Linked DNA regions of Oryzias latipes. The protein of the gene in region 1 purifies or fractionates together with the protein of each later gene. This does not show direct contact. Links are inferred from orthologs where the notes say so. Each region holds a gene or a part of one and is shown in the gene's direction. Other genes may lie near its edges.

Region 1 (2,516 bases):
GTTAGAAAAAGACGACAAGAAGGAAGAGGAGGTAGATGAAGATGATCTGGCCGAGAAGGCCAAACTCCCCAACTATGTCAGCAGATTTGAGGTGAGCGGCCGTCGTTAGAAGCTTCAAGTTTGTCCTCACAGCTGGATTTACGGTAGTTTTCCTTCCAAGGATTTCCCTGTTTCCTGTTATGTCTGTAGTATAGCTGTTGAGTTTTTTCAATTAAATATGAGTGAGCAGTTCACTGTGGGCTCATTTTAAAATGAAAGGAAAAGTTGCATCTCATAACATTCCCTGACCCAAAGTCTTGCATTACAAAGTATTGAGGTGAACTTTTGTTTCTTTTTAAATGCTATAATGGGATTTCCTGAATTCCATTTTACATTCTTTCTCTTAAGTTTATTTATGAGGAACATTTCAGACCTCAGCTTTTCAAATGGGAAATGTTGCAGAATCGAAGTCTGAGAAATATATATTTTTCCCCATAGAAATGTCATTAGATTAATTTCAAAGAAGCTTTTTACAAACCCAGAGAGTATTAATGAATTATATCAACAGTTGCTACATGTATGTAGAGCCAGAGAAGTGGAATTTCATTTTAATTCTTTCAAGAGTTGCATATTAATGTGATTTAGTAAAAGACAAAAAGTGTATTTCAGCAATAAATCTCAGAGCTTTCTGGCAAAGTTTAATGAATGGTTGAGCAAGAATGACCAAAATCCCCCTTTGCTTTCTCCATAAACGAATTAACTTCTTGGTATTTTGTACATCTAATGATTTCACACTTCTAAGAATAATTTAAAATCTCCTTTTAAATTGGATAAATGCAGAAAGATAAAGCACCCCATAAAATTTAAAGGCACTTTAATTTAGGCTTGTGCAGATAATCAATAAAGAAAACCACAGATAAAAGCCAGTTATTCCAAATTGACAGCATTCATCTACGCAAAGTATTTGTTTTATTCCAGGAACTATTACATTTTAATTTGTGGTAATGCTTTTTTTTTTTTTTAGTGTTTTCATTGAAAAAATATCTTACCGCAGTTTTTCTTGACCCAAACAAGACCCCAAAGTATATGTTTTTAATTGTTTTATTCTTATTTTAACAATGCTTCTGTTCTGTATACACATTATCATGTGTGAGGAAAATGAGCTACATAATCCTGGCCTTTTGTTAATGATCTTTTAAAAAGGCCCCACTTTCATTAGCCACTGTCGAATTTGCACAAATTAAGGCCAAATGGTAGTAAAATGAAACTGCTTCTGTGTTGTAAACACCACAAATGCTCATTTAAAGAGTTCAAGTTGAAGGTGTCAAGTTCAAGACCTGCACACAGTTAAAAAGAAAAACAGGATTTTGAAGCATCTTGCAATTGACAAACATGAAAATGTAAGCTGTGATAAAAACTCTGAAGGATGTCAAATGTTTTGTTCTTTCAACCACCTCTTGTTTCTCTTGGTCTCCAGGAGCTGATGAGCCAGCTTGAGTCTCGTGGTAAAGTAGAGCCCACCTCCTTCAAGGCTACGGTGACGGCTATGTGTGAGCAGCAGCTGGCTGATGCAGAAAAACCAGACCTGGAGGAGTACCTGAGCCAGGTACAGAGCTGGGAGGCTGAGAGGAGGCAGCTGATCCAGAGGGAGCAGGAGACGAGGCAGAAGGCTGAGCAGGAGAAACAGGAGCGCTTAGCTGCCAGAGCTGCAGCTCAGCAGGCGTAGAGATTCTGTGAGCTCTGTGTTAAAAGCTTTTCTCTATACAAAACTGGCATGCAACCCTGTTACTTTTGTATATATCATTTACTGCATTTTTCAGATGTAACTGGACGTCTGGGTCAAAAGAAATAAACTCTTATTTGTATAAAAAAATGTTGCTTTTTGTGTGTCATGACCTGTTGCAGTATGTCCAAAAAGGAGTTCTTTTCATTAAGGATTTGCTGATATTGTGTTCAGGAATACAGGGAAAGCTCTAAAATATTCGTACTATCACAGCTTTTACTTCTCCTTTGTTTTGTGTGTGTGTAATGTTTTCTAATTTTTATCTTCTTTGCCTGCAGAGGAATGGATTTACTATCACAGAGGGAAACACAAGTTTATCGGTTAGTCTGATAATCTTTAAAATCAGACGGTGCAAATTTAGTAAGTGCTGCATAAGCTAATATGGAACCAGATTTCTAGAACATAGATTGTGGATCTGCGCTTGTTTGGAAAGGGAAAAGATAATCGATCTCCAGAGGAGAAAAAGCTGTTGTTGTGGAGCACAGAATGCATTCATTTCACATTATGCTGCCTCTATTCAGTATTCAGCACATGGTCTTGGGGAAAAAAGCCCAGCATGCATCTCAGGATGAATAAGTATGGGGCAAAACAAGACCCATTGTGATCCAGTGGCTTTTAGAAAACAGCAGCACATGTTTTCATAGTTTTGCTGAAAAGCAATGAATGTGTTTCTTATCCTCGTTTGAAATAGAGCCTGACTGACCCATCAGTGCAACAGTGGATCTTTCAGCAAACGGAAGGATGCCCAAGCTAG
Region 2 (4,311 bases), on another chromosome or scaffold:
GGCAACAGCCAAGTGGGAGGAGCCAGACAAATTGCAACAAGAGCAGAGGGGTATTCCAGAAAGCAGGTTATGCTAGCTCCCACGGTAATTTTGAGGCTAAGGAAGCGGATAACCTCAGCTTTCTGTTCCAAAAACAGAGGTATGTTTCAGGGTATGTCAAGTTGCCATAGCAACTCATGCTCTGAACATAACCTGGTCTGTAGCAGGTTTAGTTGAAGGTTACTTTGTTTTCAGAGAGGTGAAGCAGCATGCCGTGTAGTGGAAGAAGAAGCTCAGACATACCCCGAGTAAGCACGTTCAGGCGGATTTCAGCCAGAGTTCAGGGTTAAAGTCAGGGTAGTTTGAACATGCTTCCTGGAATACCCCCCAGGAGAGGATGCTCTGAGGAAAACAGCTGGAGTATGAAGAGTTACTGTCGCCCCCTTCTGGATATCTGACTGAACTGCACCTGAGAGCTACGTGACACGAGCGTTCACGTTTGGGCGCGCACCACGAAGGCAGACGGGTCCACGGGAGGCCCTGTCCAGTTCAGGGTCCACGAAACCTGCGGGGCCCCTAAGCTGTCGGTCAATGTTTGACTCTAATCCAGACAAAGATCAACAGAAACGTTCCGAACCGAACCACAGAACCCCGTCACGTGGGTTCTCCCCTCTACTAGAGATGAGGACGAGAAATAAGTGGGGTGTGCAGATGGGGTCACTGGCGCGTTGACCTGCAGGGCAGGAGGACTCCTTGTGGTGTCAGAGCAGTGTGTTCGGTCTGCAGCAGCTGCAGGTCCACCTCTGGGTTTACAGGTCTTGGTCTGTGCAGGTGGACTCACCTGTGAGGTAGAGGCAGCAGGTCTGAGAAGAACCGCAGCGGACCTCAGAAACACACTCAGCTTCGACATGTTGGTCGGACTGAAGAAACGCGACCTGCAAAGATCCTCTGATGGCGAGAGCGCTCACTCTGGGAGAAAAATATCAATGCAAACGGGGTCTCAGCTGTCGGTTTGTTTACAATGTAAAGGTCAACCCAGAAATTATGTGTGAAACAACAAATATAGCCACAAATCTATGCTTTTCCTTGGACAATCTCTATAGCATGGAATTCTTGTACTTGTGTTAAAAAAACAATTTCTTACCTACTTCACAAACCAGGTGGGATGCGTACGATTCACCACAACCTTCAGATTCCACGTTAGAGGCACAAATAAAGGACACACGCTTCATGAGCCTGATGGGTCCATAGAGGTCAGCTCAGCTTCCTATCGGAGCCCTAAAGGTCAGAGAGGACTCGCTCGATCCTGAATTTGCAACAGAGTAAGCCTTCTTCTTGTTACGCTGTGACGTCAAATCCTTTAAAGGCTTAATTAATAACAAACATTCCTTCCAGAAAAAATCGGAGAGTTCTCATTAAATGTTGTTTCTTACGTTTCCACTGTCAAGCAGAAATCTGGAAACTTAATTTTACCATAATAATAACGCAAGCATATTCCCGGAACATAAACATTCGTGACGTAACATCCGTCACGGAAGTGGACTAGCGGCAGTAGTGAGTCTCGTGCGCTCCTGAGCTCCAAGGCCCTCGTGAGTCTGGTGTCGTACTGCAGCGCGCGCCGGCAGACATGCTGAAGGTGCTGCAGGTGTGTGTCCGCCGCCGGCTGTGCGCGCGCGTCTGTTCGGCGGTCGGGGCGCGCGGGCTCAGTCGCGGCTTCGCGGGCAGACTGAGCCGGACCGGAGACCGAGACTGCACCGTGGACCCGAACCTGGAGGAGCAGTTCGTGTTCGTGGATTGTTCAGGTGAGCAGAGACAGCAGAGTATTCTGTGAACAGCGGTGCTGCAGCCTCTATCGATTCTAAAACGGGAGGTTTTACCTGAAATATACACATTCTATACATAAATAAACCACAATAATAATATTCAGCAGTTTATGTCTTCATTCAAGTGAAGTCTTGAACATCAACAGGGTTTGTGTTGCACAGACAAAGAAAATTAAGAGTATAATAATTGCATTTCTGAGTATTTCTTTACTCAAATCATGTCCTATGTGACGTAGAAAATACAGTGGGCAGGTCACTCTGCTGCATTCTGAAGCATCCACTGGCAGAGAAATAGATCCATGTAGTTTTGGGGGAAATGTTTCTCCGTGTTCATGATCAGGTCAGCATTGAAGAGCAAACGCTCTGGTGACCTGCTGTTCCAAAAGCATCCCTCTCTCAATTATATTTCTCAGCTGTTCCCGCCCATGGAGGCGGGACTACAGGTCTGACATGGAGACGGGTACTTCTGCTTTTATTTAAAGATATTATACAGAATATACTATAAATGCACTACAAGGAGCAACAACATAACAATCAGAAATGTTGATTAGCTAAGTATTTGGGTTCTCTCTTTAGGTCCAGAGGAGGACCCCCATCAAGAGGAGAAGGAGCTCCTCCGTCAGCTCCGCGTCTCCTCCACTGCTACAGAATCCACTCCTGAAGGAGCAGTCTCCCCTCAGAAGCAGCTCAGGTCTTTGGAGCTGCAGCTGCAGGCGCTGAGGAGCGGGGCCCGGCAGAACGTGGGGCCAGAATCGCTCATCCAGTTCCAGGACAAGGACTTCCCTCTGGAGGAGAGCATCCTCTCTGCAGACTCCAAAAAGAAGAAGAAGAAGAAGAAAGGGGTGGAAGGGAAAGGTGGGCACAAGGTTTTTGGAAGCCCTGATGTGGAGGAGCCCATCAGCGACACCTGTTGCTCGGGCTGCGGCGCCTTGATGCACTGCACAGCTGCAGATGTCCCTGGATACCTGCCCAGCGAGAAATACAAGGCGCTGCTGATGGACGGCCAGCTGGGCGGAGCCATCTGTCAACGCTGCCACCTGCTGACCCACCACCATAAGGCGCTGAACCTGCAGCTCACCAGAGAGCAGTACCGGGAGGTGGTTCAGCAGATCCGGCCTCACAGGGCTCTCGTGCTGCTCATCGTGGACCTCCTGGACCTGCCCGACTCGATCGTGCCCGACCTGCCGGGCCTGGTAGGCGCCAACAAGCACATCGTCGTGCTCGGCAACAAGATCGACCTGCTGCCAGGTGACTCGCCAAACTACCTCCAGAGACTGAAGCGGCAGCTCTCCGGTTACTGCCAGCAAGCCGGCTTTGGGAGTCAGGTGACGGACATCCACCTGATCAGCGCCAAGACCGGCTATGGGGTGGAGGCCCTGATCTCCAGCCTGCAGAGATCCTGGAAGTACAAAGGAGACGTGTACCTGGTAGGCAGTGCCAACGCCGGGAAGTCCACTCTTTTCAACACGCTGCTGGAGTCGGACTACTGCAAGTCCAGAGCCTCAGACGTCATTCACAAAGCCACCATCTCCCCGTGGCCCGGTCAGAGCCCGCCCTGCTCAAGTGCATTTACATTCCAGTTGTTAAGCACTGTCATCACGTGGCTGCTTTCTCCTCCTGTGGTGTGTTCAGGGACCACTCTGAACCTGCTGAAGTTTCCCATCATCAACCCAACGCCGTACAGGATGTTCAGGCGGCAGAAGCGCTTGAAGGAGGCGGAGCAGCAGATGGAGAACGAGCTAACCCCACTCGAGCTGAAGAGGCTGCAGCACTTGAGCCGGCAGGGGTACCTAGTGGGTAAGATGTCTGGGTGTGGCAGGGACGGGATGTGTGGGGGTCCCCGCTGAAAACCTGTCTGCCTGTTCAGGTCGAGTGGGGCGGACTTTCCGATCCGATGGACCCAAAAGAGACGAGATTGAGTTTGATCCAGACAGTTTGGCGTTTGGAGAAGACGAGGAGCCGGCAGAGACAAGTGAGCTGTGATTGGACAGATGAGGAGTGATGTCACTGATTCCAAATGTGGACCATAAATTAAAAAAAATGTAAAAATCTAAACTTCCTCCCCCTGACAGCTGTGCACCAGTCACATGACGAGCTCAGTTACAACGAGCTGAAGGACGCCCACTGGCTGTACGACACGCCGGGGATCATCAAAGAACACGATGTGAGATTCTCAGTTTGTCAAAGCTCATATTCCCAAAGAACATGTGAACTCACCTGGAAGAAGCCACACCCACTTACAGTTTTAGTTCGGGGCTTAATGTCAGATGATGTTGATATGTTGAACTGCATATGAGAACTGGATTGAATGGCCCCCTCCCCCACACGTTCCATATAGGAAGTACCCGCTTGCTCCACGAAGCCAAAATCCCATAGACGTCTACAGAGCGTGTGGCGTTGCATGGCGTGCAGGCGCTACCCGCCCTAACCCTCGTACTGACCCTCGCCAACCCCCTTTTTTCCCCTGCCCTCCCCCTGCTTCAAGCCCCCCAGTCTTCCCCTCTCCTCT

The links.
Region 2: the proteins of mrps27 (region 1) and noa1 purify together in Homo sapiens (co-immunoprecipitation; 3 studies listed by BioGRID and IntAct, counting the BioPlex papers as one, with this or other methods). This does not show direct contact. The link is inferred for Oryzias latipes from reciprocal best matches to the Homo sapiens genes MRPS27 and NOA1.

Annotation. Positions count from the first base shown.
Region 1 is NC_019867.2:7,672,144-7,674,659, reverse strand, and holds the end of mrps27 (28S ribosomal protein S27, mitochondrial), read left to right. Parts: coding exon 1-91; intron 92-1,456; coding exon 1,457-1,705; 3' UTR 1,706-1,852; downstream 1,853-2,516. UniProt on the Homo sapiens protein: RNA-binding component of the mitochondrial small ribosomal subunit (mt-SSU) that plays a role in mitochondrial protein synthesis. Stimulates mitochondrial mRNA translation of subunit components of the mitochondrial electron transport chain.
Region 2 is NC_019868.2:3,207,713-3,212,023, reverse strand, and holds the start of noa1 (nitric oxide-associated protein 1), read left to right. Parts: upstream 1-1,403; 5' UTR 1,404-1,606; coding exon 1,607-1,781; intron 1,782-2,378; coding exon 2,379-3,344; intron 3,345-3,434; coding exon 3,435-3,599; intron 3,600-3,669; coding exon 3,670-3,774; intron 3,775-3,874; coding exon 3,875-3,966; intron 3,967-4,311. Other genes in the region: protein NipSnap homolog 3A, read right to left, coding at 821-889. UniProt on the Homo sapiens protein: Involved in regulation of mitochondrial protein translation and respiration. Plays a role in mitochondria-mediated cell death. May act as a scaffolding protein or stabilizer of respiratory chain supercomplexes. Binds GTP.